Linked DNA regions of Macaca fascicularis. The protein of the gene in region 3 purifies or fractionates together with the protein of the main gene of each other region. This does not show direct contact. Links are inferred from orthologs where the notes say so. Each region holds a gene or a part of one and is shown on either strand. Other genes may lie near its edges.

Region 1 (7,027 bases), on a different chromosome or scaffold from region 3:
AGCTACTTGGAAGGCTGAGGCAGGAGAATCGTTTGAATCCGGGAGGCGGAGGTTGTAGTGAGCTCAGATTGCGCCACTGCACTCCAGCTTGGGCGACAAGTCAAGACTCCATTTCCCCATCCACCCCCCAAAAAACATATAAGACAAAATCACTGCCATAGAAGTAAAAAAAAAAAAAAAAAAAAAAAGGTGAATTTTATATAACTTTAGGTGAAGCACAATTTTCTAAGTGTGCCACTGAGGAAAAAAACTGACTGAGAAAAGTTGATACAAAAATCTAAACTTCTGTGAATCAAGAGAGCAAAAGAAATCTAAAGGACAACAAACTGAGAAAACAAATGCTAACTAAAAGAAGGGTTAACATCCCAATTACAAAAGACTTTAAAACAACAATGTTGAAAATATAACATATCGGAAAAAGGTGCACAGGACATGAGTGAGCAAGTCCCAAATGGCTAATAAGCATAACTGTTATGAAAAAACGTTCACTTCAACTAGAGTTCAAAGATTTAGCTGCAAGGATACTCCTTATACCAACATTTGGAAAAAGAGTAGAAACAACTTTAAGGTCCTATAATAACGGATAAAGTTACAAATTCAGTAAGTTATCAAGTAATCACACATTATGTCTATAGAAACTAAAGATGACATAAATTTTTCTTTATAACTTGGATCAATGTCCATGATAGAGCATGCCAAAAAAAAAAAAAAGTAGAGTATAAAACAAAGTAAATAAATAGCATTTGTGGAATGATTTCATTTTTATTAAAAAATACATCTTTGTATAGAACACTATATAAACAAGGATATAAAATGACGTCTACCAGATCACGTCCACTGCATATCTGAGAAGGTGAAACAGAAGACGTGGGAGGTGGGGTACTCTATTTTTTGTTTAACTTGTTCTATAATTTTATATAGTAAACAAATATGGTTTTCCTAATAGGAAAAATATATTTTTTGTCTTTAAGAATGACACACAAACCAGTATTTTATTCTAATATATAAAAATTAGAAATAGTAAACACACAAAAAAAACAGAAGACTAGGAAGTGAAGAACTCCTGCTCTTAACCTAATGCCTTTACCTCTACCCTTTTTAAAACTGAAAAGGACCAGGAGTATGTTTACCCCTGAAAGAAATAGGCAAAAGTTACTGAACAAAAAATAGTACTATAGGATTGCTTTTTCAGTGCTATTTATTTGCTCAACAGCTTGTTGCTTCCCAAAGCTATACAGAAAGTTCATTACAATTCTTATGCTGCTGATTCTTGTCCCATGGATGAGTCAGTGCAAACAGGCAATCATGGCCTCTCCTGGCCCAATTAACTGTTTGGCTTGGCAACTCTGTCAAACTGAAACCAAACTGAAAATCTTCATGGCTGAAACAGTTATAGGAAAAGTTCTAAGGTAAATCCGGGTAATCTGAGATGAGAGCACTAGATAAGACAGGATTCCTGAAGGGTGACCTTAAGTGTCCTGAGAAAGCTCATTCCTCACATCCTGTCATACTCCCACCAAAGCACGCTTAGTCAAAGGAAGAAGTGAAAGTCATCAGAAGTCTTTTCCAGAAGACTATGGAGAACCTTTCCATTAGTCACAATACATGACTAACAGTCTTGAGGAATCTAGATGCTTTGAGAACACTTTCTAGTAATTCCAGGGCTAGAAAGTCTCTTAACTTCAGAATAAGATATAATTTTTGTATTACTGTTTATAGCTTTGTCAGAGAGGTCATAAGACAATGGCAGTCTCACAGAAGAGATGGCTATGTACACTAGTGAAGAGAACAAAACCACCTTACTCTTAGGCTACCAAAATCTCTCTGAAAATTATCTATATTAATACTAAGTACACGGCTAGTAAGATATGTTAATGTAAAAAGAAAAGAAAAACAAGTTGTGATGTGTGGTGATAGTGGTAATAAAAAAGATGTAACGTATCAAGATCCAATAAAAAGACCTTCCCATTTCTCCAATGAAGAGAAACAAACATATTAAACATCTGAATCAAGTGAGCTAGCAGAACCAGGAATAGAATCCAGGATCAGCTAACTTCTTGCTGTAACAGCCAGTCTACCAAATGATTTATCAACAGAAACTACATAAAGCAGTACTAAATTGAAAAAAACAAAGAAGGCCAATTAGTAGCAGGTATTTCATAGAAGATCCTCTGACACACATCTGCCTCCTTTTGTTGCTATAAAGTACTGGTTAGGCTGGGCATGGTGGCTCAGGCCTGTAATCCCAGCACTTTGGGAGGCTGAGACGGGCGGATCACGAGGTCAGGAGATCAAGACCATCCTGGCTAATATAGTGAAACCCTGTCTCTACTAAAAATACAAAAAATTAGCCAGGCGTAGTGGTGGGCGCCTCTAGTTCCAGCTACTTGGGAGGCTGAGGCAGGAGAATGGCGTGAACCCGGGAGGCGGAGCTTGCAGTGAGCCGAGATCGCACCACTGCACTCCAGCCTGGGCGACACAGCGAGACTCCGTCTCAAAAAAAAAAAAAAAAAAAAAAAAAATTATTCCCTCTGAGAAGAGAGTCTAGGTAGGGAAGGGAGGGACCAGAGACAGCTGCTTTCCATCAAAAATTATTTAACATTTAAATGGTGTGCTTTATTAGTTTGATAAATTTAAAAATTATTTTAAAGAAAAAAGTGAAGAGAACTCTCAGAATCCCCAATACATGATCCTAACTACCATCAGACACTTGCCTCCACCTTGATGGCACACCGTCCAATGGCCCGCACAGCTTTTCGAACAAAGTCAACATCTACCTCTGTGGCATATTCCTTCAGTTCTGCCAGAACCTGTTAAATGGAGGAAGTGGTTAATCATTAAGGATTCTCAAATAGCAATCTCACAGCCTAGCTTCTTTAAAGGCCAGACCTTAAGAGCTAAATCATTATCAACTTGAGTCTGCATAAAGTCTGACCTGAGCAATGTTGGCTTGAGATGCCAAACGAATCATGATGTCCAACTTCTCTAGTTTAACATAGATGGGATCATTGTACTTCACAAAGAAGACTTTGATTTCCTGCTTCAAGATTTCAGGCCTAGGGTACACAGAAACAGAAGAAAGGAAGGTGAAGGCATATACTGATACACCCTTCTGAGACTGTATTAATACCTAATCTGTGCCTCTCTGCTCTCCTCTCGCTCCACTCAGGAAAAAAAAAAAAATGCATAAACTTCCTCTATATGCCTCTATTCTTATCAGTTCCACTTGGCAGATTATTTTTATCCTTTTTAAGCATCAGGGCACACGTTGCCATGAAGTACTGCTAAAAGAACAACAATCTGGCTCTAAACTACAACGTGAACCATATCAACCAGGCACTAGACAGTGTATCAGAAAGAGACCCTTCAGAAAACAAACTGGACTGTGCAGCAACACATGGCATTTATTATAGAAATACTGTGATATCAACTGTTAGCCTCCTGGTGCTAGGCAAGCAAGTTGTTCTGCCATATAACATTTTCATTTCCATATATTAAAAAGAGATTAACACTAGCCTAATTAACATTAACATTATTAAGCTTAATGCAAAATCACAAAGACTTTAATCAACACTTCACTATTTTCCAACCTTTTCTGGACAATTAAGTTGATGTTCCTCAGGGCGACATACTGCACTTCTGGCTCCCCAGACAGCAAAGTGACAAGTGGAGGGGCTAATTTCTTCAGCAGCATATTGTAGTAGTCAGAATCCTTAGGTAACAATTCTAGAAACTTCATTAGGACTTTTACTGCTGAAAGCACCACTGCTGAGTTGGCATGGGATAGCCGGGGAGTTACCCGCTCACATATGCTGAGGGCAAAGAATGAAAATTAATATCATGAATTATAATTTCTTTGCTGAATTCATTCTATAAGGTAATATGTCAGAGTCTAATGACCCAAGTATCAAAAAATTCAAGAATTAGTTAGAAAAGTCAAAGCTCTATGCTTAGGTAAAACTGGGATCTGACAATGCAGAAGCCTCATTCTCAGCAAACTACAGGCAGAGCAGGGACATCAGAAGACTTCAGAAAACCAGCAATAAGGGATGTTCAAACTGGAAAGAAACTAGCATTACCCAAGACACTTGAGCTCACACCATTTACCTTCTTGTTTTATAGTCCTCTTTGTCTCCCCATATTATGTTAGGGCTCCCTGCCTCTCAGCCCATTTCTACTCAACCTATAGGAAGTCAAATTAAGCATTCTGAGAGTTATTTCATAGGAAGTGCCAGCAACCCAGTTATGGCTGAAGATTTCATTGTAAGATACAGAAGGAGGCAGGTTGGTAGGGAAAACAATCCAATCTCCTGTCTTGAGGATAATGAGAATAAGGGACTCTCTGAAAAGGGTTTGTTTTTTAAATAGCAGGACACCACTACTATATTTTCCCATCTCCCTGCTCTCCCAGCCCCTGCCACCTACACTTACATGACTCATAAAATGGTAGATATTTAATTATCTGTTGAGGGTTCTTTAGAAATTAATCCAATTTTGATAGCTTGGGCAACACGAGTAGCTAACTTACTGTATTAAAGAAACAAGATAAATAGGCGGTGTTTCTCTCTTCCTCCTATTCCTGACTTCCTTTGGGTCTTTATACAAATGCCACCTTCTCAGTGAGGCCTTCCCTGGCCATCTTTTAAAAATAAAATACAACCCCCCACCCCCAAATGTCCAGCATTTCTTAGATTTCTTAGATAACGGCACTCTCTACTTTACTTTCTTGTTAGTACTTATCACCATCTCACATATTACATATTAAACTATCTATACATATAATATATTATACTATCTATACATGTTATATATTCCTACCCCCAACCTTCAAATAAGTGATCCCAGAGGGCCATGACTTTGTTCACTGTTGTATCCTCAGGGCCTAGGAACACTGCCTAGCACATAGTATGCGCTTAATAAATATTTGCTGAGTGAATGAATGAATGTGATGTCAATGGCCAACAGAAGAAAACAGTAATTCTCAGTAATTTCCAGACTGTATTTGTACTTTCAATGATGGAAAGAAACTATCAGAGTGAGCTTTAGTTCAGTCTAGAGGGACTATTTCCCAGATAAGTGAAGATCACTTACATTCTAGTAGCTTGGAAATCAGCTTCAGCCAGACCAGTTCTTATCTACCATAATTAAAATATACCAACTTTAATGAAGAGTCAACATTTCTTCAGAAGTACTTTGCCTAGTACAGTGCCTGCATATACAAAATGCTCAATAAAAATTAGAGATAATTCCAACTTTGTAAACTAAAATGTATGTATGTGTAGATGAAATTTAGTAGTCAATTTCTAATAACTAAAGAAAATTTGCAACATTACATGGTAACAGGCTGAGCAGAACAATCTAGGTGTGCCTTCTAAAATCTTCAAATTCAGACTGACATGGTTTCCATATCTAATGGAAAGCAGGATATATTTTGCTGACTTTAACATACTCTCTCTCATACTGAATTATACATACAGGTCAGCTCGATAACTAATATGAAGCTACTTTCTATGTATCTAATAGAATGACAAATCTGTCACTCCAAAGAGAGATACTCAATAATCTTTGCTGGCCAAATGGCCAAGAACTGTTGCATGGGAGATGTAAGACAATAAGAAAGATTTTAGCAGAAGTAACTGTATGAAAAACATACATTTCTTAGAAACAGTTTTGCATAGTTTATTCCACCACCTAAAATATTCCTAAATCCAATGAGAAAATACCTTGGAGATAGCAACATCTACCCTAGAAGCCACTGACCTTCCTCAACTGATTTATTCTAATACCAGACTCTAGAACTTATAGAATCAGGCAAGACTATCAGAAAGTAGCCAGGAAAACAGACTGACCTCTGAGCCTCCCGATCATCTTTAGGGTTGTAATTAGACAGGCAGTCCAGGATGAAAATCTGGCCCCATTCAGTGCACTCATTTAGGGCTGTCAGCAGCTTATTAATGTTCTGCGGGTTCAGATCAAGTAAGTTGCTGTTTGGGTGAGACTCACTGATTTCAGATAATGCTGCTACGGCATTAGCCACCACCTGGAAAAGAAGGGGATATGACCTTGATTCACCAAGAACAGTACAGCTACAGACAAACACTTAATCAGCCTTCTCTGGATCACTTCACGGATCTCAATTCATAACCATTCCTGAACATTTTACCTAGTCAGATAGAAACAAATAAACCACTTCAAAACATATATTAAACCACCAATGATATTATATATAGTGATAAGGCAACCCTGAATTAAAACAATTCATATATTAGCAGAGTCACACATTATTTAATAGTAAAACATACATTAACCATGTTAACGGCACTCAAAACTTTCAAAATCAAGACATGTGAACAGCATATGAAAAAGGGCGAAGTCTAAATATGAAATACGTACATTAGGCAACAGAGAGAAAAATTTAGGCCAAATAATTGTATAGTTGTGTAGCTGTATGGGTTTGGGGGAGGTGACACCATCAATCATGCCACAAGTCTTAGAGTAAGAATATGTGGGCCTGAGACCCTAGTTCACTAGTATACAATGCTGAGAGAATATGTAATCTCTGTGAAACTCAGTTTTTCCATCTGAAAATGAGATAATTTAGTCCACCTCACAGATTAGTTTCAGTTTGAGGATAAAACCAGATGACATATGTATAAGTGCTTTCTACAAAGTCTTATGTAAATTTAAGGTGGTTGGTTATATTACCATAATTCATCAAGTGTAAGCTATAGTTTTTCACATTAACATCTTTGAAACTGGGTCGCATTTTATAATCAATGGCCTGTCAGTTCAATAGGAAGCATTTTTCTTTCTTAGTAATACAGAAAATAATAATACATCTTATAATCAGTGGCATTAAAGATTCAATGAAATACAGTATTTCAAATGTATCCTTCTTTCTGGGTAGGGTAAATGAAAAATTGCTACCCTGTTTTTTTTTTTTTTGAGACAGTCTTGCTCTGTTGCTCAGGTTGAAGTGTGATGGTGTATCTCGGCTCACCGTAACCTCCGTCTACTAGGTTTAAGG
Region 2 (7,027 bases), on a different chromosome or scaffold from region 3:
CCACCCTTTTTCTGTGGTGAGTACAGTGCTGCTGTGAACATGGATGCATTAAGTATTTGCTTCAGTCCTTGTATTTAACTTCACCTTGAGGTGGAATTGGGACTGAAAATTCTGTGTGTACCTTTTTTTTTTTCCCCAGACAGGATCTTGTTCCGTCTCTGCAGTTGTGCACTCATAGCTCACTGCAGCCATGGCTTCCTGAGCTCAGCTGATCCGCGTATGAGCCTCCCAAGTAGCTGTCACTAGAGGAGGATGCCACCATGCCTGGCCTTTTCTTTTCCTTTGTTTTTTGTTTGTTTTGTTTTTTTGTTGTTGTTTTTTTTGTTTTTTTTGAAGCAGAGCCTGTCACTGTTGCCCAGGCTGGAGTGCAGTGGCACAATCTTGGCTCACTGCAATCTCTGCCTCCCGGTTTCAAGCGATTCTCCTGCCTCAGCCTCCCAAGTATCTGGGATTATAGATGCCCACCACCATACCCGGCTGATTTTTGTATTTTTATGTAGAGACGGGGTTTCACCATGTTGGCCAGGCTAGTCTTGACCTCACCTTAAGTGATCCGGTCACCTCAGCCTCCCCAAGTACTGAGATTACAGGCGTGAGCCACTGCACCCGGCCTCTTTTAAATTTTTACAGTAAATATTGCAGTAGCAAAATGGTTGTTTTTTGCTTTTTTTTTCCGATGAAGTCTTGCTCTGTTGTCCAGGCTGGAGTGCAGTGGCGCGATCTCGGCTCACTGCAAGCTCCGCCTCCTGGGTTCACGCCATTCTCCTGCCTCAGCCTCCCGAGTGGCTGGAACTACAGGCACCTGCCACCAAGCCTGGCTAATTTTTTAATATTTTCAGTAGAGACGGGGTTTCACCGTGTTAGCCTGGATGGTCTTGATCTCCTGATCTCGTGATCTGCCTGCCTTGACCTCCCAAAGTGCTGGGATTACAGACGTGAGCCACCATGCCCGGCCTCTTCTGCTTTTTGTGTGTTTTTTTTTTTGGTTTGTCGAGGACCACTGCTTAAGCCAAGTAGATTTTTTAAGTGAAAGCCTTTCAGAGATTGAGGAAAGTAGATTAACTGATACATTAGAACTTTAACGTTGACTATTACAGGCATGCTTCACTGTGCTCGACTGATTTTTTTTTTTTGCATTTTTAGTAGAGACGGGATTTCACCATATTGGTCAAGCTGGTCTCGAACTCCTGACCTCAGGTGATCCACCCACCTCAGCCTCCCAGAGTGCTGGGATTACAGGCGTGAGCCACTGCACTCAGCCAATCTAAAAATATTCTAAATGGCTAGTTGAGTTTGTCCAGGATAGGGGTCATAACTGAAGAAGCTTTGGCTGTTTAACTGATACTGGTGGTTGCACCTTTCCTTGTCAGACTCCAGTCTAGCTGTCCCACGTGTAGCTCCAGTTTTAAGTCACTTCCATGCCTTTGCTCATGCTTTTGCTTAAACTTGAAGTGTGTTCTTTTTGCTTTCTCCTGATCCATTAAGGTTAGCTCAAATTTGACCTTCCCATTAATTGCTCCTCCTGGGTCCCTGAGATACTTTATTTAGAGTAGCACTTGAGTCTTCGTCGTCTTCTTTTTTTTTTTTTTTTGGTTCTTTTTGTCCAGGCTGGAGTGCAGTGGCACAATTTCAGCTCACTGCAACCTCCGCCTCCCGGGTTCAAGCAATTCTCCTGCCTCAGCCTCCTGAGTAGCTGGGACTGTAGACATACACCACCATACTTGGCTAATTTTTTGTGTTTTTAATAGGTTTTGCCATGGTGGCCCGGCTGGTCTTGAACTCCTGGCCTCAAGTGATCTGCCCACGCGCATTGGCCACCCAAAGTGTGCTGATTACAGGCGTGAGCCACCACACCCAGCCTCCTCCTTCTTTTAAAATAGTTACACATTTGTCCATCCTCCATTTCTAAAGTTTTAAGGTGATTGTGGACTTAGATTATGTCTCTCTTTTTTTTTTCTATTGGTATCTGGTATCATTTCTTGGGCATAGTACACAGTATTCAGTAGGTGTGGATTTTCTTTTAAAACTGTAAAAGGCAGGCCGGGCGCGGTGGCTCACGCCTGTAATCCCAGCACTTTGGGAGGCCGAGGCGGGCGGATCACAAGGTCAGGAGATCGAGACCACGGTGAAACCCCGTCTCTACTAAAAATACAAAAAATTAGCCGGGCGCGGTGGCGGGCGCCTGTAGTCCCAGCTACTCGGGAGGCTGAGGCAGGAGAATGGCGTAAACCCAGGAGGCGGAGCTTGCAGTGAGCCGAGATCGCGCCACTGCACTCCAGCCTGGGCGACAGAGCGAGACTCCGTCTCAAAAAAAAAAAAAAAAAAAAAAAAAACTGTAAAAGGCTTACATGACCACATTTCCGTGGCTTCTGTGTTGCCTTTTATTTTCTTTGCTTCCCTGCCTCCATTAATGTGAAATTAAATTTTATTAAACTTTGAGGTATTGTCCAATATTTTCTTTTTGCATTAATACTTTGTTAAATATCTGGGGGGGGGGGGTTGTACCATTGGTCCCAGCCACTCAAGAGGCTAAGGTGGGAAGATTGCTTGAACGCAGGAGTTCAGGTCCAGCCTGGGCAACATAACGAATCTCTTAAAAAAAAAAAACTTGGGGCCGGGCGCGGTGGCTCAAGCCTGTAATCCCAGCACTTTGGGAGGCCGAGACCGGCGGATCACGAGGTCAGGAGATCGAGACCATCCTGGCTAACACAGTGAAACCCCGTCTCTACTAAAAAATACAAAAAACTAGCCGGGCGAGGCGGCGGGCGCCTGTAGTCCCAGCTACTCGGGAGGCTGAGGCAGGAGAATGGCGTGAACCCGGGAGGCGGAGCTTGCAGTGAGCTGAGATCCGGCCACTGCACTCCAGCCTGGGTGACAGAGCGAGACTCCGTCTCAAAAAAAAAAAAAAAAAAAAAAAAAAAAAAAAAAAAAAAAAAAAAAATTGGCCGGGCACGGCGGCTCACTCCTGTAATCCCAGCACTTTGGGAGGCCGCGCCTCTGCAGATCGCGCCACTGCACTCCAGCCTGGGCGACAGAGCAAGACTCCATCTCAAAAAAAGAAAAAATAGTAGTGCTCCACATACCTTTAAGTTAATTTTTATTGTATTTGCTTTTTCTTTGTATCATTGTCACTATTACACACTGGAATAACTGAAGAAGAGATTGATGTCTAGCATGTCTTTTCTAATTCTGATTTTGGATTTAATTTTTATAATACATTTATTTAAATACCTTTAGGTTGGCAAAAGCAGCTTTCGATGATGCAATTGCAGAACTGGATACGCTGAGTGAAGAAAGCTATAAGGACTCTACACTTATCATGCAGTTGTTACGTGATAATCTGACACTATGGACTTCAGACATGCAGGGTGATGGTAAGCAAACACTAGGAAGTAAAAGAGGCACCTCTTTCAGTTGCAGGATTTGTTTTTACTCTCTGTAGACATTCCTTGGCATATCTTTACATCAAGCTACAATTTAGACTCACTGCCTGCTCTCTATGAAATTTTAATTATTGCCTTTATAGGAAATGGTGCTAAAGTACTGAGTTCCATTTTGGGGAACTTAGTTTAAGTCTGCCTTTACACTGTTTCAAAGGTTGAGGAAAGGAAAAGTGGAAAGCAAGTAGTTTATTTTATCTTCGTCCAGATTCAATTTTAGGGGGCTGAAGTTAACTGTATTTAAATCCAGATGGTATCAATAGGTATTTATGAAGTTTTTCTCTTTGTTGAAATTTTTTATCTAAAAGGGAACTAATTTCCCATTTACCTCTGGGGTTCAGCAGAGAAATTGTATGTTGGCCCTTGGGTCTTTTTTTTTTCTTTTCTTTTTTTTTTTTTTTTTTTTTGAGATGGAGTCTCGCTGCAACACCCCGGCTGGAGTGCAGTAGCATAATCTCGGCTCACTGCAAGCTCTGCCTCCCAGGTTCAAGCGATTCTCCTGCCTCAGCCTTCCGGAGTAACTGGGGTTACAGGCACCCGCTATCATGTCCACCTAATTTTTGTATTTTTAGTAGAGACGGGATTTCGTCATGTTGGTCAGGCTGGTCTTGAACTCCTGACCACAGGTGTTCCGCCCGCTTCAGCCTCTCAAAGTGCTGGGATTACAGGCGTGAGCCACTGTGCCCGGCTGTTGTTACTTTTAAGAGGTTTTCATTGCAAACAATTTAGCTAGAGTATTTTACTAAACTTAATTGTGATGGTGAGTGTGTGTGAATGTTTACTTTAAATACAGAAGCCCAAATTTGTTAACGTTTGTTGATTTTAAAGGAAGTTTAATTCTCTCTCTCTAGAGAATCATTATTATCCATGGTAGATTGTTGAACAGGGGTGGAGAAGAAGACAAATTAGTGTGATATGAGCATTACATTACAAGATAGTTTTACATTTGGTGGTGCTGGTGCTGGTAGGAGGTTGGAAACAAAGTCTGTTGTCAGTTTTAGCTGCGATTCCTTTAAGCATGTTTCTTAAGCTGGGCTGGGCGCGGAGGCTCAGGCCTGGAATCCCAGCACTTTGGGAGGCCGAGACCGGCGGATCACGAGGTCAGGAGATCGAGATCATCCTGGCCAACACAGTGAAACCCCTGTCTCTACTAAAAATAGAACAGGTGTGTTGGCGGGCGCCTGTAGTCAGTCCCAGCTACTCAGGAGGCTGAGGCTGGAGAATTGCTTAAACCCAGGAGGCGGAGGTTGCAATTAACTGAGATCGTGCCATTGCACTCCAGCCTGGGTGACAGAGGGGAGACTCCATCTCAAAAAAAAAAAAAAAAAAAAAGTTTCTTAGACTGAAACATATGTCGCGTTGCTTGAGGCTATCTGTAGTGTCTGTTGGGGAAATCGACCTGCTGTATTGTCTTTGGAAGTGTTACACTTTTTGAAAACGCTTCTGAAAGTGGGCACGTATGTGTCTTTTCTCTGAAAGGATCAAATCAGATTTGTGACTTTTGGGTTATGGTACTAAAGTGAGACTCAGCTTTTAATGCTTCCTAGCTCTAGGAAATGTTTAGGATTTGACTAGATCGGGATTGGCATGAGATACTCATATACATAGGACTTACTTACACGCTTGCAATAGTGCCAGATGGAGCCACGGACCACTTCCCAGCGCAGCATTTCAGGCTGCTACTCCCAGTCCTTGGAACTCAGAAACAATTTACCAACTCTGAACAAGTGGCTTCCAGCTTGAAAATCTATCCCACTCTGGTTGCGGTGGCTCATGTCTGTAATCCCAGGACTTGGGAGGCCAAGGTGGGATGATGCCTGAGCCTAGGAGTTCAAGACCAGCCTGGGCAACATAGTAAGACCCTGTCTTTAAAAAAAAGAAAAGAAAAAAAAGGCCGGGCGCAGTGCTATGTGCCTGTAACCCCAGCTACTTGGGAGGCTGAGGCAGGAGCATTGCTTGAACACAGGAGGTGGAGGTTGCGGTGAGCTGAGATCACGCCACTGCACTCTGGCCTGGGAGACAGAGCGAGGCTTCATAGAGCAAGACTTTATCTCAAAAAAAAAAAAAAAAAACTCCAGTGAGGTTGGGGGATCTTGAGGCTGTAGTGAGCCTTGATTGCGCCACTGCATTCTAACTTGGATGACTGAATGAGGTGCCATCTCTTAAGGGAAAAAAATTGTTTTAACAACTATGAAGAAGAATGGCCAAACAGCTGTGGACTCCTAACAGTCATCCCCAGCTCAGATACTAGCATCTCTCTGCCTGTTGATGGAGGGAAAGCACGTGGAGAGTTTGGGAAGCGGGATTGACTTGAGGAAATGATACCCTCTCACCCCTGGGGATGGGTGTTTGAGAGTAAAAGTAATAAAAAGTAATAAAGGTGACTTGACTTGAATGTGTGTGTGTGTGTATGTGTATTTTATTATTTATTTGTTTATTTTTATTTATTTATTTATTTTTGAGACGGAATTTTGCTTTTGTTGCCTAGGCCAGAGTGCAGTGGTGCTGTCTCAGCTCACTGCATCCTCTGCCTCCCAGGTTCAAGTGATTCTTCTGCCTCATCCTCCCTAGTAGCTGGGACTGCAGGTGTCCGCCACCACGCCTAGCTAATTTTTTGTATTTTTAATAGAGACAGGGTTTTACTATGTTATGTTGGCCAGGCTGGTCTCAAACTCCTGACCTCGTGATCTACCCATCTCGGCCTCCCAAAGCGCTGGGATTACAGGTGTGAGCCAGCGCGCCCGGCTCATTTTTTGGTTTGTTTTGGTTTGTTTTGTGATGGGGAGTCTCCCTGTGAGCCACCGTGCCTGGCCATTTTCATTATTATTTTTTTTTTAAATAAAAACATTGCCAAGCACAGTAGCTCATGCCTGTAATCCCAGCACTTTGGGAGGCCGAAGTGGACGGATCACCTGAAGTCGGGAGTTCGAGATCAGCCTGACCAACATGGAGAAACCCCGTCTCTACTAAACATACAAAAATTAGCCAGGTGTGGTGGTGGGCACCTGTAATCCCAGCTACTCAGGAGGCTGAGGCAGGAGAATCACTTGAACCCGGGAGGCAGAGGTTGCGGTGAGCCAAGATCGCTCCATTGCACTCCAGCCTGGGCAACAAGAGCAAAACTCCCATCTCAAAACAACACATTTGATGCCAGCTCATGACTAGGTCCTGGATTACAAAATTAAATCGTTTATAGTTAGTAGTGGTTCTGTAGCTCATTATCACTGATAACCAAGAGTTGATTAATGAAAGTAGACTACCTGTCAGTCTACATACAGAACTAACGATATCCCTTATTCTTGGTTGTCGAGTACAGTTTTAGGAAATGGATCATCTTTTTTTTTTTTGAGACGGAGTCTCGCGCTGTCACCCAGGCTGGAGTGCAGTGGCCGGATCTCAGCTCACTGCAAGCTCCGCCTCCCGGGTTCACGCCATTCTCCTGCCTCAGCCTCCCGAGTAGCTGGGACTACAGGCGCCCGCCACCTCACCCTGCTAATTTTTTGTATTTTTTTTAGTAGAGACGGGGTTTCACCGTGTTAACCAGCATGGTCTCGATCTCCTGACCTCGTGATCCGCCCATCTCGGCC
Region 3 (6,779 bases):
ACTAATGAGGATCTAAACTCACCCCAAGGGCTTAGAAATGTGTGGTTTCTCTTTAGCCATCTTCCCTCCCAATTCCAATCTCTGATCAGTGAACTCCATTTACTATTTAAAATATCTCATCATTTACCCTCCTTATGAAGTTTTCTTGTACTGGTGTACAAACACAATCCTTTAAAATGTAGATAAACGAGTATGGAGGCAGTAGAAAATCTCAATGGCGGGAACATTTCTTTCACAATTCTCAATTATTACATATAATCAGCTGAAGAAACTTAATAGGAAGAATTGCTCTGATGTACCCAAGGGGGAAGGTATGCCACTTTAAAGAGAACAGCTATTTTAAATCTTTACTAAATTGAATCTCCTCCTGAGGCTTCTCAATGTCCTTCCCTATATTTCATCAGGGCTCCACTGCCCATAGTTACTTCGATTAGTCACTAAGAGCAAATGGTTAAGTTATGGGATAGCCAGAAGAGAGAATATTACTGCTACCATTAAATTACATTGTAGAAGTATACTGACAAGGAAAAGATGTTCACAGTGTATTATAAACACCCCCAATCCCCATTATTTATAAAAAGTTTTAGAATGAGAAAAGTAGAAATTTAAGGGATAGAAGGGGCAGGTAGCAGAATGAGAACCAGTGTCTGGTTTTGGGCTACCAGATTCACTGAACAATCTGTAAAAACACATTTAATACCCCTATTTTATACCTGTTTTTTTAAACCTAATTATTCTAGCCTCCATTCTTGCTAAAAGTCTACTTTGCAATGGGATTCTTTTGATAAAGTCTTTTATAGGAAGAATTATAGAACACTACAATAACTTGCGCAGCTAGCCAAACCTAATGTTTTCAGTTTAGCATCCACCTTTCCAGTTGTGAAAATGGAATAATGTAAAGGTCTCCCAATAGGTTTGCCTAATTCTTGGTTATTCACATTGCAGATTATCCAGTGTGGTATGGCTATTTCCTGTAACACAGGCCCACAGATTTCCTGAAGTCTCTCTTCCCCAATACTTCAGTAAGCAAGAAAATTAACACAGGCACACAGGGAAAGGCAGATCCCGACTTAGAACCAGAGTAAGTGCTTATCAGTTTTGCTAACATTACTTCCCGACAAGTTTTGGCTTACTCTGGGACAAGGAAAGCTTCTAAAATAGAGATTATTTTCAAGGCCCCCTGAAAGATTTTGACCTAGCATTAGGTAAAAGTTAATTCATTTCACAAGTTATCCAATCTAAACAGGAATTGTACAAATACTGTAACACAACCGAGTAATTAGACTAATACTTCCGGGGACTAATCCTAAAGTTGACAAAGTAACTCTGCCCAACAATTCTAGAACGATGATCTTGCCCATCATTGAATCTATGTTTGCAAGTCTACCACAGCCTAAGAATTTGTCCAAAACCCACAGTGAAGTCTTGGAATGGATATGTGATACGTCTAAGTATTAAGAATAAATAGAGGCAAGGCACAGTGGCTCGCGCCTGTAGTCCCAGCACTTTGGGAGGTCAAGGTGGGCAGATCACTTAGGGTCAGGAATTTGAGACCAGCCTGGCCAACATGGTGAAACCCCATCTCTACTAAAAATACAAAAATTATTAGCTGGGCGTGGTGGTGTGTGCCTGTAATCCCAGCTACTCGGGAGGCTGATTTGAACCCGAGGGGCAGAGGTTGCAGTGAGTCGAGATTGAGCTACTGCACTCCAGGCTGGGTGACAGAACGAGACTCCATCTCAAAAAAAAAAAAAAAAAAAAAAAAAAAGAATAGAATTTTAGTTTCTTTAAAATTATCTTAGAAATGCCTTTATTCTTGCTTTTTAAAACAATGTCAGCCGGGCGCGGTGGCTCACGCCTGTAATCCCAGCACTTTGGGAGGCCGAGACGGGCGGATCACAAGGTCAGGAGATCGAGACCATCCTGGCTAACACAGTGAAACCCCGTCTCTACTAAAATACAAAAAAAATTAGCCGGGCATGGTGGCGGGCGCCTGTAGTCCCAGCTACTCAGGAGGCTAAGGCAGGAGAATGGCGTGAATCCGGGAGACGGAGCTTGCAGTGAGCTGAGATCGCGCCACTGCACTCCAGCCTGGGCAACAGAGCGAGACTCTGTCTCAAAAAAAAAAAAAAAAAAAAAAAGTCAATGATTTACTTCAATCTGTATCAAATCAATTTCATAAATGGAGAAATATTTCTGTCAACTTTTCAGAAGGTAGTTTTTCTTGAAAGGTAAACTGGTGCTTTTGTATTAGAAAAGAACTTGTTTTACAGATTTGGTGATAAGAAGACAAAAATGCATAAACAAAGGATGCAAACCAAGTAGAATTTAAGTTGAATTCAGGATTTCAAGTAGCGATGTATAAAAGAAAGTCACTTACTATTCACAATTAGATCACTAGTGGTTTGTGGTCAACTACACAAATATGCAATTAAATCTACAACCAGCCAAATTTCCAATTTACTGTAATGTAACACTCATTTAAAGAAAAAACTAAACTTGGACAGGAACACAAGCGACACACTCAAAACCAAGAGCACACATACACAAAATAACTACAAGAGTGAGCAGAGATAGCTGGTTGGGGAACAGGGAGTCTATAAAAGAAAATTTTCAATTCTGTTAACTAATCTTCTAGTATAAACTGATGATTATATGAAACACACCAAGGAGAATACATTCAAGTTAATGGAAACAAGTCTTTATTAAGTAACTTTTAATATCAGAAAAATAAAACTCTTATAATTCTCTTTACAGCAAATATATAATATCAGTGCTTTGGCCATCTTAAGTTAAAGGCCCTTTATCATAAAATATATGGTTTTAAATTTTACTCAAATTGAATTTATAATCCCTATGACTTCCCTACATATACATAACAAAAGAATGTAGTAAAATTAGCAAATACTAAACTATATTGATAATTTATCATTCTTAGTTTGTGGTTTTTAGAAACAGTACACGCACCTAATATATGTCGATTCCTTGGCTTATTAGTTGCAGTGTACAATGCAACAAAATACAAAATACATGCTTGGTGAACATTCGTTCATATCTACAAGACGGCAGCTAGAGATTAGGTTTCAATACTGACATTTACTATCCTACAAGCAATTAGCATTACATCATAATATGCCATCAAGGCAACTTTTTTTATACTGAAAAAATCAAAATAAAAACCGTTATTTGTAAACTTTTATAAGAAATGTAACTCTTCAAGTGGAAATAAAAAATAAAATTTGTCTATTTACTATTGAATACACATAGGATTTCAATTTTCATTATACCGAGAAAAAAGCTCTTTTGTGTTGGGAAAATAATGCTTCAAAAAATAATTAGTAGAAAAACCCACCAGTATAATGTTTTGTCCTTTCAATGCCAGCACAGATTTGGGAACATACTGAGGATGAAGTTATAGACATCCACAGGTGAAATGTACGAGTGTATTTTAAATAAATCTTTCCTTGTGATTGGAAATAGTTTTTGAAATGAAGTAAACTCATTGGAGGTTGTCACAGCTGCTTTTATGAATTATGCCAAGGGCATCATTATCCCTTTCCCCTTCCTCCCTCCCCTAAATTACTAAAAAATAAAAATATATTTATAATGTGCAAGACAAATATGGATTGAACATAAAATGTTTCACATTTTGATCTATAGTCTAAAAACTAACAGCTCGAGCACACTAATGAATGGAATGTTCGCATCCTCAATTGTTAGCCAATATAGGTGCCATCCCAAAGCCCTTCCTGATATGGGAAAACCAAGGTGGCCATTTCCACATTCACCAAGAGAGGCAATGGGCAGGAATTCAGCATTCCTGATCCACTGATCATACCAGCCTTGAGAACTCTGGGCGAGATGAAAGTCGATGTAGCAGTTTTTGTCCCAAATTATAACCAGTGATCTAGTAAACTGCCATCAGCCCTATTATTACCAATAAGTAATCACAATGCATTAAAAAGTTACTTGCAATCCTGCAGAATTAGGCATAAGTTGTTGTAAAATAAAAAACAAACAAACCTGTTTTGTCAAAACTGGCAGTGTAAAGAAGGCAGCACTGGAAGTGTATGAATCGTCTGTAATGCCAAGTACCCTCCATAAACTCTTAAAGTGGTTAGGCTTTGGGACCCACTGTTTTGAAATCTTAGACGTATACACTTTTCTCATAGGCTCACACAACCTATGATTATCTTCACTCAGCCAAGTTGAACTTCAGCTTTAGCAATTCTTATATAAACTATGTCTCTGGGTCTACAGGATAGTATTAATAATTCAAACCAAACTAATAGACAAGAGACCACTTAGGTTTAGTGTTACCATAGCAGCCTTTTATAAGTTTACTAACAACTTTAGCCTAATCCCAATAAAGCCTGATAACAGTCATAAGAAATCATTAGGAAGTTTACTGGGGGGTACCATTATACCCATGCCTTTACGAGTCCATATAGAGATATAGTATTTATGTATATATATATAGTTAAGAGTGAATTTGGATTGCCTGAGTAACAGCTGTCTGGCAAACTGGACATGATGGCGTTCTCTTTTCACAGATCTTGTTGGCACATTCCATGCAGAAGAGGTTGTGGCCACATGGAACTAGGGCAGCAATAACCTCATTCTCAAAGCAAATCACACAGTCGTGCTTTCGTCTTGATTCTGGAGGTGAGCTAGAGGTGGAACCACCATTGGAAGAGGAGTAACTATTGGTACCATTAGAAAAAGCAGGGATGTATATTGGAAGGCCAACATGGTTGCCTGTACTAGGTGGGTCGCTCCTAACCCTCCGAGCAAGTGGGTGTTCTATGCTCTCAGGAAATGTAGGAGACAGACGAGGAGTAGATGGCTGACTTCCTCTGCGCTGAGTCTTCATGTTACCAGAAGGATCACTCCCAAAGCCAGAGAGTGGGTTAACTGGTTCAAATGGAGTCCAGATAGTTTGAGCAGATGTTGGTAAAGAGTCAAAGGCAGGAGAGTCAACTGCAAGGTCTTCTGAGCCTACAGATGGTAGTGTATCTCCAAACCAGAAGTTTCCTGTACTAAATGGGCTTGTTGGACTAAAGTCAGCCAGCCTGTTGCTTCCAAAGTAGGAATCTGTGGAGCCACTTCCTAGAGAACTGGAACTATCATTTCGATAATTGGATATCATTCTCGCGCGGCTAGGAGGAACAGGATTGGAGGAGAGCCACGCAGAGCCAAGAGTGCCACCTTCAAAGCTTACATCGGTACCATTGTAATGGAAATCATTCTCTTCATTAAGCTCTATATAGTTTCCTGTACGCATGGCAATATGCATTTCTATTTCTTCCCGTGCTCGGTCGACATTTTCAGGCATCCCTGTCACTTCAAAGACAGGTTCCTTATCTCTGCTCGGAGTTACTATGTAAGTGTGGGTCTGCTGCTGAATTCTTTTAATAGTTGCTCCTTTGGGTCCAACCACTAATCCTACCACACGATAAGGGACCCTGACTTGGACGGTGGTTTGACCGGGCAGATTAGGACTACATGACAATCCTCCCAGGGCAGGCCCATTTTTGTTTCGAGATGCACGAATCATGGAGAAGTGCTCTGCAGCTGAGAGGATCTCTCTTTTGGCCATGGCAACATCTTCTTTCCTTCCAGTGACAACAAAAATGGGCTCTTCACCACGAACAGGAGTCTTGATATACGTGTTTGTCTTGGCTCTCAGTGCTTTAATTTTACAACCTGTTAGAAAGAAAACATTTCATAAGAATCAACATGTACTTCAATGATATATATAAAGACAAATCACAGAATGCACCTTTTAAGCTAAGTATCTGGTTATGGGTAAGTTTTAGAGTTTTTCACAAAGCTAGGAAGTGGCAGAGCCAGAAGTAAACCTAGTTTGACCTAAAATCTATGGTCTTTTTGCTAGTCCAAGAACCTCTATTTTCACAATTATCTTACAGAAGTTCTTAAACTGACTTCTACCTAATTATCTTATCACTTTAACTTAACATTACTCTTTCCTCTGTAAAACTCAATTGATGACAAAAACACTGTGCTCATGGCTAGTAGGTCATCTCACTTCTGCTCCCACCAGTTAAATTCTAGGCCTGCTATGATTCAGTTTTGTTTATTCCCATGTTGTTTGTGCTAGGTGTACTCATGCTAGTAACTGAATTATCTGAATTATTGCATAAACTAATGAAACATCAATGCAAAAAAGACGAGTATCTTAAAGAGCATCTTAAAGAAAAAAGCTGCTATTGAATTATGAATAGGTGAGACAGCTATAAAGGGCTGGGATAAAAAAAAGTAACATAGAATGATTTTGTAATCGTTGTAAAGTCCTGCTCCATTTAAAAGAAACAGATACTGCAGATTGTATGGAATGTGGGTGCTGGGTATGGTTTTACTCAAGGACTGCTCTGATTGACAGACACAATTTGAAACAAAAGGCCTTGACAAATACTAAGTATATTTAAGTTAAAATAAAACATCTAAGACACATATGTATAACTTTACATAATGCCCCACTTTAACCACCTTTTTTTTTTTTTTTTTTTTTTTGAGTAATCAGAGATTACTAGTGCCAACTATGTTAAGATTAGAGGGTTTCAAACTGTAACTTAAAATGTCAAGTACACATCAAGGCATAAAACTCTGGGGTTATACTTTTCAAAGACCCTAACTTGAGCTTGCCAGGATAGATGTGTTCTCATGAATATATCATACTATTCTTAGTTCATCAAAATAAAGCTAGGTGCTATAATCCCAGCTCCTTGGGAGGCTGAGGCAGAAGAATTGCTTGAACC

The links. Proteins that work in one complex are often made in the same cells at the same time.
Region 1: the proteins of MEX3C (region 3) and AP2B1 purify together in Homo sapiens (affinity purification with mass spectrometry; 4 studies listed by BioGRID and IntAct, with this or other methods). This does not show direct contact. The link is inferred for Macaca fascicularis from reciprocal best matches to the Homo sapiens genes MEX3C and AP2B1.
Region 2: the proteins of MEX3C (region 3) and YWHAE purify together in Homo sapiens (affinity purification with mass spectrometry; 3 studies listed by BioGRID and IntAct, with this or other methods). This does not show direct contact. The link is inferred for Macaca fascicularis from reciprocal best matches to the Homo sapiens genes MEX3C and YWHAE.

The regions. Positions count from the first base shown.
Region 1 is NC_088390.1:41,926,671-41,933,697, reverse strand, and holds part of AP2B1 (AP-2 complex subunit beta), read right to left. Parts: intron 6,041-7,027; coding exon 5,850-6,040; intron 3,813-5,849; coding exon 3,591-3,812; intron 3,057-3,590; coding exon 2,936-3,056; intron 2,811-2,935; coding exon 2,715-2,810; intron 1-2,714. UniProt on the Homo sapiens protein: Component of the adaptor protein complex 2 (AP-2). Adaptor protein complexes function in protein transport via transport vesicles in different membrane traffic pathways.
Region 2 is NC_088390.1:1,454,462-1,461,488, reverse strand, and holds part of YWHAE (14-3-3 protein epsilon), read left to right. Parts: intron 1-3,237; coding exon 3,238-3,374; intron 3,375-7,027. UniProt on the Homo sapiens protein: Adapter protein implicated in the regulation of a large spectrum of both general and specialized signaling pathways. Binds to a large number of partners, usually by recognition of a phosphoserine or phosphothreonine motif.
Region 3 is NC_088392.1:38,551,955-38,558,733, reverse strand, and holds the end of MEX3C (RNA-binding E3 ubiquitin-protein ligase MEX3C), read right to left. Parts: intron 5,707-6,779; coding exon 4,481-5,706; 3' UTR 2,680-4,480; downstream 1-2,679. UniProt on the Homo sapiens protein: E3 ubiquitin ligase responsible for the post-transcriptional regulation of common HLA-A allotypes. Binds to the 3' UTR of HLA-A2 mRNA, and regulates its levels by promoting mRNA decay.